4 linked regions of the Saccharomyces cerevisiae S288C genome follow. The protein of the gene in region 1 binds, or shares a complex with, the protein of each later gene. Each region holds a gene or a part of one and is shown on either strand. Other genes may lie near its edges. The genes, in order: RPA49, RPB10, RPA12 and RPC10.

Region 1 (3,484 bases):
TCTAATAGTCTTAAAAAAATTGTTCATGGAGTTTTCAAATGACTTTACTTCATGGATCAAAGATTCCTTGAAATCCAATTGATTGTTCCATTGTACTGAGGCAAAAGCCAATCTTAATTGGCGCGGTGAGAATTTTTTCAAAGCTTCTTGAATGGTAATGAAATTCTTTAAGGATTTAGACATTTTTTGACCCTCAATATGTAAATGGCCCGTATGTAAGAAATAGTTGATCCACTGTTGATTGTCGAAGCGAGCCTCGGATTGAGCCAATTCGTTATCATGGTGAGGAAAGGCCAAATCGATGCCACCTGAATGAATATCGATGTTAGAGCCTAGGATATCACTGGCCATCACAGAACATTCAATATGCCATCCTGGTCTACCCTTACCCCATGGTGATTCCCACTCAGGTTCACCTGCCTTGGAAGCCTTCCATAAAGCAAAATCATTATTCGACTTTTTTCCGTTATCAGCAAAGTTGCTTAAGGACCCTTCACCATCATTAATTAAGTCTAACTGGCCCTTATTCCATGGCTGGCATTTAGCATAGTCATGATTTGGGGATTTGTCAAATTTTAAAGTATCAAAGTACACGGAACCGTCGGAAGTGGCATATGCGTAACCATTATCAATAATTTTTTGAACAAAGTCAATAATTTCTGGAACGTACTCAGAAACACGAGTTGTAACGGTGGGAGGTAGCACGTTTAATGATAACATGTCATCATTGAATTTCTGTTCCCAGTAAGCTGGAAGTTGGCGGAAAATCTCTGGATTGCTAATGGTAGAGCCCAATTCTTTATCCAATAGAGGAACCGTAACGTCCTTGACTTTTTCAAAGGCAACTTCTGCGTCCATGGAATCGCCCTTAGTGATTGATTCAATAGCATTTTGAACTGCGGTGACATGCATAGGGAATTTAGGATTCTCCAATTTTAAAGTTTCAGTATCAGCATTCGATAACCAAGTTTCAAATTCTTCGATAGTTTTGATCTCGCTGCCTTGAATAGTAAAATTTTTGTTGATATATTGGAAAAGTGCGGTTTTGACCTTGTCAACAACAGTGGCGTTGAATTTGGTATCATTTTCTTTGACAAAATTGTCAAATAAATAGTTTTGTCTAGCTCTCAAAATAATTTTATCGTCGATATCAGTAACATTTTGCACAAATTGCACGTCGTAACCAAAATAATCTTGAATAATTCTTCTATTGATATCAATAGAGACATAGTTTCTGGCATGACCCATATGGGAGGCATCGTAAACAGTAGGACCGCAAGAGTACCAAGTGACACCTCTATTGCCAGATTGCGGAATGAATTCAACCTTAGATCTTGTTAAACTGTTGTACAACTTCAACACAGTTTCTTTAGCTTGTGGCGTTGGAACCTTCCATTTGGGCTGCACAATCTTCGGCGTAGACATTATAGTATATCTTCTCAGGGCTTTTATGAAGATATTCATGCATAGAATAAGAACTTGACCGGACACCTAATCACCGACGCCAATTAGCAATACTGTTCTTTTCAATTGATAATGTCTTTTGACTCTTCGCGATGAAAAATGTTTGCGGTCACCCGCGCTGAAAATTTTTTATTGCGATGAGCTGAAATTTTCCATCTCATTTTTAATAGTAAGTATTCTTGCATGAACACTAATGATATTAGGAGGGCTTTTTAAGTTGCTACCACTATTGCAGTCGTTATCAACCTTTTGCACTTTATCTAGTAATGTCCGTGAAAAGGTCTGTTTCTGAAATCGAAATTGAAAGTGTTCAAGATCAACCCTCTGTTGCCGTGGGAAGTTTCTTCAAGGGCTTCCGTGCTCCCAGTGACACTACGTTCGACTTATACAAAAAAAAGAAGTCTGAAAAGGACGAATTCGTATTACACGGTGAAAACGAGAGACTAGAATACGAAGGTTATACTGATTCTTCTTCCCAAGCTTCGAACCAGTATGTTGTGGGCCTATTTAATCCAGAAAAGAAAAGTATTCAACTCTACAAGGCTCCCGTACTTGTTTCCAAAGTTGTATCCAAGTCAAGCAAGAATCTAAGGGGTCCAAAAATAAAAAGTAAGAGTGATACTCGTCCATCTGCTTTGAGAAATGCGTTGGGTGAAGCGTTTGGTACTAAAAAGGCTAAAAAAGCTATTGCAGATCTAGAAAGAAACCGTATTGACTCTGATAAGTTGACTGATTCTGCTATTGACATTGTGGATTCCGTGAGAACTGCATCTAAGGATTTACCAACTCGGGCTCAATTGGATGAAATTACTTCCAACGATAGACCTACTCCATTAGCCAATATCGATGCCACTGATGTAGAACAAATTTACCCAATTGAAAGTATAATACCAAAGAAGGAATTACAGTTTATTCGCGTTTCATCAATTCTGAAAGAAGCGGATAAGGAAAAGAAGTTGGAATTGTTCCCATACCAAAACAATTCCAAGTATGTGGCAAAGAAATTGGACTCTTTGACACAACCTTCACAAATGACCAAATTACAGCTACTATACTACTTATCACTATTACTGGGCGTATACGAAAATAGACGCGTGAATAACAAGACGAAGTTGTTAGAAAGGTTGAACAGTCCTCCTGAAATCTTGGTAGATGGTATCTTAAGCAGATTTACCGTGATAAAGCCTGGACAGTTTGGAAGATCAAAGGATCGCTCCTATTTCATTGACCCACAAAATGAAGATAAAATCTTATGCTACATCTTGGCAATCATAATGCATTTGGATAACTTCATTGTTGAAATCACACCCTTAGCACACGAATTGAACTTGAAACCTTCCAAAGTTGTCAGTTTGTTCAGGGTACTTGGTGCTATTGTCAAAGGTGCCACAGTGGCTCAAGCTGAGGCTTTTGGCATTCCAAAAAGTACTGCAGCTTCTTATAAAATTGCCACTATGAAAGTTCCATTTAAGCTACCTGAAATGACAAGAAGAGGAAGAGGTCCAAGACGTTAGAGTTACCTAGAGGTATATACTGAGCATTTGGTTTGCTCTGGTTTTTTTTTTTGCTAGATGGTTCTATAAAGCAGCAAAATATAAGACGGTCCTCCTGATGAGAGGAAGAGAAAAACAAAAATAACTACATAGATATACGCTATTTTTTCTGAGAAGATACATATGTACAAATAGATATTTTACAATAATTTTAAACTTCGCAATAAATTCAATATTAATTCATAGCGTAGTTCGGCTTTCTAGCACCTTAGTAAGCTGAAATTTAAAAATGTATCAGTTTATTTTTTTCAATAAAGGTAACTTTAAATGAGAAACCAACGTGTTATATAGGTGAAATCATGAATAGCAGTCTGCAAGTTGGCATCGGAATTGATGTAGGTTCATCAAGTGCTAGAATAGGTGTATATAATTACTACAATGATGCGCTGTTAGAAATGGCGCAGGAACCAGTCCCATACTACCAGGATTCTTCAAAGAAGTCATGGAAATTCTGGCAAAAATCAACT
Region 2 (2,367 bases), on another chromosome or scaffold:
GCATATTGAATTGCAAAAGAGAAAGGAGCTGTTAGAATTAGCCTTGGAGAAAATAGATTCAATCTTGGTTTTCAAGAAAAGCTACAAGGGCGTCTCCAAAAATTTATGATGTAAAATAAATAGTGTCATTAGAGAATTTGTAAATAGCATTTTTTACCGTTATATAATTACTAGGGTGTATTTTTCTGAAAAAATAAAGGCATACCCTTCATCTAAGCTCTTTCTTATAGTATACAAGTCTCTTATATCGCACGATGTAACATCTACATACTTCCTTTATCGTCTTGAAGAGTAAACAAAAGATATATATATATTATTTTCTATTATTTTGGAAGAGAATGGTATTCCTACAGTATGCAGAGACACATCTGGTTGTCGTGTAGTTCTTTTAGTGTGTGAGAATAAATGGTTATCGTTTCTATATTCATGACCGCTCTCATCTTTTTTTTTTCATCCATCAAGGAAAAGAAAAGTTCAAAAACAGCCATATTGAGGAACACTTAATCTCTTTTTTCTAATGGGTTGTATCTTAAAAACTTTTCAATAAGATCGACGTGGGTTAGAATCATTCTTCTACAGCAGTATCTTTTTAGACCTAATCTTGACAATGCAGTACCTTCATCCAACTCATCTTCTTGCAACAAGTTTAAGTAGCTTTCCCACTTGTCACCAACAACTTTACCGCATGAGAAACATCTGACTGGGACAATCATTTTGTATTATTATTTTGCTTATTGAGGTTTACGTTCTACACTCTACAGTTTGAATACACTTTAACTATCATCCCATTGTGATTTTATTCAATGTTTCTTTTTTTTTTTCTTATGAAATTTTTTTTACCAAATACAACGAGTGAGAAATTACTTTTCGTTCAACGTGATCTTTGTGTTCTCAATTGCTGACACTTCCAGTGTAGTAGCCATCGGAGTGCTGATAGTAGCTTATTTTGGGCTTAAAAACCTCAAGAATATGAAAAGATTTATCAGGTCTGCTTTTGCATATATGAACCCTTCATCTTACTTTTTTACGTTGTAAATTCGTCAAAATATCAACAAAAATGGCTGCTGCGCCTGGGTGAAAAATTCGTCAGATCCGTTCTTATAAGACTGGAAAAACTCGCAAATGAAAGAATTGTTGTCTTTGACTAACCAAAATGACGAGCCTTTCAACAGTTATCGAAACGTAAATTGGATCCCATCAGTTTTTTTGTTTCAATTCGTCACTGTAAGGAAACAAACGGTAGATAATATTTTAGAAGAAAGGTGGATTTAGCCTTTTGTACCTATTTTCGCCAAGCAAGATAACCATGTCAGAACCAGTGATAAAGTCTCTTTTGGACACAGACATGTACAAGATTACGATGCATGCTGCTGTCTTCACTAATTTTCCAGATGTTACAGTTACTTATAAATATACCAACAGGTCGTCCCAATTGACCTTCAATAAGGAAGCCATTAATTGGTTGAAAGAGCAATTTTCGTATTTGGGAAATTTGAGGTTCACAGAAGAGGAAATTGAATACTTAAAACAGGAAATCCCATATTTGCCATCGGCATATATTAAGTATATTAGCAGTTCTAATTACAAACTACACCCTGAAGAGCAGATTTCCTTCACTTCAGAAGAAATCGAGGGCAAGCCCACCCACTACAAATTGAAAATTTTAGTCAGTGGTAGTTGGAAGGATACTATCCTTTATGAGATCCCCTTACTGTCCCTAATATCAGAAGCGTATTTTAAATTTGTTGACATCGACTGGGACTACGAAAACCAATTAGAACAAGCTGAGAAGAAGGCGGAAACTTTGTTTGATAATGGTATTAGATTCAGTGAATTTGGTACAAGACGTCGTAGATCTCTGAAGGCTCAAGATCTAATTATGCAAGGAATCATGAAAGCTGTGAACGGTAACCCAGACAGAAACAAATCGCTATTATTAGGCACATCAAATATTTTATTTGCCAAGAAATATGGAGTCAAGCCAATCGGTACTGTGGCTCACGAGTGGGTTATGGGAGTCGCTTCTATTAGTGAAGATTATTTGCATGCCAATAAAAATGCAATGGATTGTTGGATCAATACTTTTGGTGCAAAAAATGCTGGTTTAGCATTAACGGATACTTTTGGAACTGATGACTTTTTAAAATCATTCCGTCCACCATATTCTGATGCTTACGTCGGTGTTAGACAAGATTCTGGAGACCCAGTTGAGTATACCAAAAAGATTTCCCACCATTACCATGACGTGTTGAAATTGCCTAAATTCTCGAAGATTATCTGTTATTCCGATTCTTTGAACGTCGAAAAGGCAATAACTTACTCCCATGCAGCTAAAGAGAATGGAATGCTAGCCACATTCGGTATTGG
Region 3 (2,709 bases), on another chromosome or scaffold:
GACATTTCAATAACATAAATATGCGTGTAACCTTATTAATTTATAATGTCTAATTTATTATAATATTCCTTCACCTAAACACTTCAAATTGGACCTCACGCAATATAGCGCCTTCTAGACCCTTGCCCAAATTACCCAGCAACTCTACGCTTTCATTGAGAGAATCAAGCGAACTCTCATCATCATCCTGTGAACCTTTAGGTTTTTTACCGTTAAATTTATAAATGCCAGAACTTCCTGCAAAAATCGTGGTACCATCTTCAGTACCACATCTGTTAGCTAGCACCAAAATCGCATTCTTTCCTTGGAACTTCCAAGGCTGTCCAAGGGAGGTTCCCAAAAATGTCTTTTCCAGTACTGTATCCTTTATCACTTCCTCAGAATCCAATAAGTCTATTGTGTCCTCCTTGTGCTTTCCATCTTTATAATATTCATGATCTAGGGGCATTCTAGTTTTGCCCAAAATGCTTTCGATAAGAGATGAATTTTTAAACCAATTAATTCTGGATTTAAAGTACAAAAAAGGAAAAAATCGTAGAATCCAGTAGTTTACGTTTGACATATCTGGTTCATCCATATCCTTATATTCACTTGTACTGTCGTCAGAAGGCACTCTGGGCGTACGTTGCGAATCACCAATTTTAAGCTGGTAAATTCCTTGAGATCCTGCCAAAGGCAACCCTTGCTCCTTTAAAGCGAAAGCTATTTTGTTCTTAGCGGCTTCTAATAATGAATTGTTATGTAACGTCTGTTTGTCTGTGATAGAAGTAGAGTTTAACCACGCCATTGGACATAGAATCAATTCAACATTATTGTCAACGCAAAAAGAAGAGAATTCAAAGTGATTAAAGGGGGCCATGAATTTGTAGGGACTTAAGTCCATACAAATACCTATTGATGCTTTCAAAGTCACATCTCTGTTGTAAGAGTCCTCATTAGAAAGCTTAGCACACTTTGAAAAATCCATGGGAAACGTCTGAAATCCCTCTGGATTCTCCTCGCAATCCCAATTCATTTCTGTATCATAGAGAAAAGTCTTTCTGTAATTAAAGATCTGCTCCCCCTGCGGATTTACTACCAGGGCAGAATTGTATAGCTTCTGTTCATCATCATCTTCAGGATATCCTATTATAGTGTAGCATTGAAATTTCTCGGATATTGATTTAGCCAGTTCAAAAGAGGGCCCTTCATCTTTCTTAGTAACATAAGGTAAAATATCTTTTCTGGCATGAAAACTGTAACCTGTCAATGCAAATTCGGGGAATAGTATTATGTCTGGTTTCACATAGGTGGCACTTTTCGTAACTTTATCCAATATTGACCATGTTCTCTTAATTGTTTGATCTACTTGCCCAATTTGCGGATTGAGTTGAATTACTAGTACCTTTAGTGATACTAAAAGTTTTGTGCTCATCTTAGCACCATGAATTGCGTCTATTAGCATTCACTGAATGTCACGATAGAGTTATCGCTGTAAACTAGCACTTTTTAGCATTGAAATGCTTAAAATGTGTGAAACTAAAGTGGTTTTATTTCCAAAGAAGGGTTATCCCTTACTAGGGCAACGAATGAATATCTATTAGGGCTATAAAACAAAAATAGTTAAGTGAGATATATACCCTCTTGAATGGTGCAGGGTAAATAATTATATATCGTTACGAACGAAAGATGAAAAATATGAAAAAAAAAAAAATCAAATTTATGTCAAGTGAAGGGCATTGCATGGCAAGTGTAAAGAATCCAAGAAGAAAAGAAAGGCTTAAAGCAATCCAGGTTAGTACTTATAAGAATGTCTGTTGTAGGATCGTTAATTTTTTGCTTGGACTGTGGTGATCTCCTGGAAAATCCTAATGCCGTATTAGGCTCTAACGTTGAATGCAGCCAATGTAAAGCCATATATCCCAAGTCACAATTCTCCAATTTAAAAGTCGTCACCACGACGGCAGACGATGCGTTTCCATCTTCTCTTAGAGCCAAGAAATCCGTGGTTAAAACTTCTTTGAAGAAGAACGAACTGAAAGACGGCGCTACTATCAAGGAAAAGTGTCCTCAGTGTGGAAATGAAGAGATGAACTATCATACTTTACAGTTAAGATCTGCAGATGAAGGTGCTACTGTCTTCTATACATGCACTTCCTGTGGTTACAAGTTCCGTACCAACAATTGATTGGGTTGTGTTCGCACATATTACAATTTGTACATTAATATCATCCCCGCTTTCATCATGTGAACATCTATAGAACATCATTTATAAAAACAAAAAATCTATGTACTGACGATATAATAGCGTACATTATCATATTATTCTTACTATTTATCATACTCATCGCATCTACTGTTCTCGAGAACGTGTAAAGTGATTTATGCCATTGAATGAAAAATTTTGTTAAGGAACAACTAGAAATATAATAGTGTCTTGGTGGATGTGGCAAATGAGGTGTGCGTGATAAAGAGCTACAAACTCAAAGTAATAACAGCTATCATCCATTTTTATAGCAATATTTGAAAATGGCTGCTCGTCCACAACAACCTCCTATGGAAATGCCGGATCTGTCGAACGCCATTGTGGCACAAGACGAGATGGGTAGACCCTTTATTATCGTGAAGGATCAAGGTAACAAGAAGAGACAGCACGGATTAGAGGCCAAGAAATCACATATATTGGCTGCTAGATCAGTAGCTTCTATTATCAAAACTTCGTTGGGTCCC
Region 4 (2,324 bases), on another chromosome or scaffold:
GCTGTCTACACAAAGACTCTTGCGCCGGCAAGGGTTGTGGTTAAAACGATTTCATATACTACTACAAGGGTATATCCGATTACTTTAGCTAATTCCGTCGTTTCTTCCACTACTGAAAAGATAACAGAGGTTTCAACGGTGTCAGCTTCAGAACAAGTTAGTGCTACTCAAACAAACTCATTGGTTTCTACTTCTACTGTTTCCACTATCAGTCCAACGATTTCATCTGGTTCTTCAACATCCTCTAGCTCTACATACGATATCGAATCATCTCAAAGTATCGAATCGTCAGGTACATCTTCCGCTACAGCCGAACCATCTGCGTCTTCAGGTTTTCGTTTGACTTCTAGTTCTGCTTTTGTTTCATCTACTGCACCTTTCTCTTCCCAACTTTCTTCATCTTCATCTTCTGAAACATCATCCTCATCATTTTCAACATCATCATCATCTGCCCCTCTTTCCTTAACTTCTTCTTCTTCTTCTTCTTCTTCTTTCGCCACTATTATTACCTTGGCACCATCGAGCTCAAAAAGCGGAAACTCTCAACTAACTTTGGCGTCATCGTCTTCCACTTCCGCAGTTGAGTCATCCCAAACAGGGTCCACTATAGCAAGAACTACCTCTACACTGGTACCCTCTTCTAGCGTAGATACAACGTCTAGAGCAACGACATCCATGCCATTAGAATCGTCTTCTACGCAATCGATATCCGTCTCCAGCTCGGATGGCACTTGTTACGTTTTTTATGATGATGATGACTACTATAGTACTGTCTACTTAACTAACCCGTCTCAATCCGTTGATGCCGCCACCACTATAACTAGTACAAACACAATTTATGCTACGGTTACCATTTAGCGCTTAGGCATAATGGTGGTGCATTCTTTTCTATTTGTTTTCTCAGGCGTATTTTTTCCATTATTTTTTGTTAAAAATAGTAAAAAGACAGTATTATTTATTCATTTTTCCTCGTGTTGTTATAACGACTAAGTTTCCTAATTTCTTTATTTTGTTTTTTTCTCATGATCTTTTCATTTTGTAGTTTCAACTATTATATACAATGTGTATACTATAACTTAATTTTATTAGTTACCTCTTACTAAGGATACTGATTCTTCCCCACTCATTTCATGAATTCATCACAAGTCTTTAGTATTTTTCATATGGAAATTACATCACCTATATATATCAAAATGTTCCGGCGAGTACATTGTCAGAATCTACAGTTTTTCCTGATATGAGCAGTGATATGGAGAAAGAGACACTAAATAAGAACAAAATATTGCCGTAGATTTAATGATTCAATCATGTGTGTCAAATTTGTTCTCCATTGCATCTTCCTATTTGACATTTGTCTCATGACCACGACATTGTACATTACCAGGTAAGGCTACAATTAGCCTCACCGATGTAACGTTATATAACGCTGCGGTCGTAGAATATGATTTTTCTGAATTTTAATTTTTTTTTTTTTTTTTTTCATTTCTTTAACATCTAAAATAGATTTTAGAATCAGAAAAGTGAAGAGTATTCCACATCATCGACTTATTCTACCAACATTTAATAAGAACGTACCCAAGAATAAAAGTCCACAAGTATAACAATGTCTCGCGAAGGGTTCCAGATTCCAACAAATTTAGACGCCGCAGCTGCAGGTACTTCTCAAGCTAGAACGGCAACTTTGAAGTATATTTGTGCTGAATGTTCTAGTAAATTATCTTTATCCAGAACTGATGCAGTCCGTTGTAAGGACTGTGGTCATAGAATCCTGTTGAAGGCTAGGACTAAGAGATTGGTTCAATTTGAAGCTAGATGAATGGAGAGACTGAAAACCATAATGGGTTACCGGGGCAGAATAATACGAAATAAAGAACCTAGGTTTTCCAAGGTTTTTGCAATATATAAACTTGTGCTTGATTTAAGTTTATGCAGCACTTTTCTTCCAGCAAATTCTTTATGTTTTTTTAAGGGAAAACGTATATCACTTAGAGATTATATTAATGAAAAAAGGTGTATACAAATGTATAATAATAATAGTATATAAGAAAAGTATTCGCTATTTATAGTGATTTTAGTTTGTACAATGTACTGTATTTTTTTTAAATGTAGTATTTTATATATATGTTACATTAGTTCGAACTGAAAAGGAACTTATGAATTAAATCATCACAATTCTTGGTTCTTCCGTAAAGCTGAATTGCCGGACGGTTATTCCCGCATTCTTCAAGACCTTGAAACTTTCCTCGTCCATTCTATAACTTTGGCTATAAACTACTTCACTGATGCCTGTTTGAACAATCTTTACAGAACATGTTAAGCAAGGG

What was found.
Region 2: RPA49 (region 1) and RPB10 share a complex: the UniProt entries of both Saccharomyces cerevisiae proteins name them as parts of the RNA polymerase I (Pol I) complex.
Region 3: RPA49 (region 1) and RPA12 share a complex: the UniProt entries of both Saccharomyces cerevisiae proteins name them as parts of the RNA polymerase I (Pol I) complex.
Region 4: RPA49 (region 1) and RPC10 share a complex: the UniProt entries of both Saccharomyces cerevisiae proteins name them as parts of the RNA polymerase I (Pol I) complex.

Annotation. Positions count from the first base shown.
Region 1 is NC_001146.8:180,855-184,338, reverse strand, and holds RPA49 (DNA-directed RNA polymerase I subunit RPA49), read left to right. Parts: upstream 1-1,730; coding exon 1,731-2,978; downstream 2,979-3,484. Other genes in the region: CRS1 (cysteine--tRNA ligase), read right to left, coding at 1-1,464; MPA43 (Mpa43p), read left to right, coding at 3,317-3,484. UniProt on the Saccharomyces cerevisiae protein: DNA-dependent RNA polymerases catalyze the transcription of DNA into RNA using the four ribonucleoside triphosphates as substrates. Component of RNA polymerase I (Pol I) which synthesizes ribosomal RNA precursors.
Region 2 is NC_001147.6:736,666-739,032, reverse strand, and holds RPB10 (DNA-directed RNA polymerase core subunit RPB10), read right to left. Parts: upstream 714-2,367; coding exon 501-713; downstream 1-500. Other genes in the region: dynamin-related GTPase MGM1, read left to right, coding at 1-109; NPT1 (nicotinate phosphoribosyltransferase), read left to right, coding at 1,307-2,367. UniProt on the Saccharomyces cerevisiae protein: DNA-dependent RNA polymerases catalyze the transcription of DNA into RNA using the four ribonucleoside triphosphates as substrates.
Region 3 is NC_001142.9:553,406-556,114, forward strand, and holds RPA12 (DNA-directed RNA polymerase I core subunit RPA12), read left to right. Parts: upstream 1-1,789; coding exon 1,790-2,167; downstream 2,168-2,709. Other genes in the region: NTA1 (amidase), read right to left, coding at 71-1,444; chaperonin-containing T-complex subunit CCT5, read left to right, coding at 2,509-2,709. UniProt on the Saccharomyces cerevisiae protein: DNA-dependent RNA polymerases catalyze the transcription of DNA into RNA using the four ribonucleoside triphosphates as substrates. Component of RNA polymerase I (Pol I) which synthesizes ribosomal RNA precursors.
Region 4 is NC_001140.6:385,630-387,953, forward strand, and holds RPC10 (DNA-directed RNA polymerase core subunit RPC10), read left to right. Parts: upstream 1-1,603; coding exon 1,604-1,816; downstream 1,817-2,324. Other genes in the region: DSE2 (Dse2p), read left to right, coding at 1-858; DCD1 (deoxycytidine monophosphate deaminase), read right to left, coding at 2,159-2,324. UniProt on the Saccharomyces cerevisiae protein: DNA-dependent RNA polymerases catalyze the transcription of DNA into RNA using the four ribonucleoside triphosphates as substrates.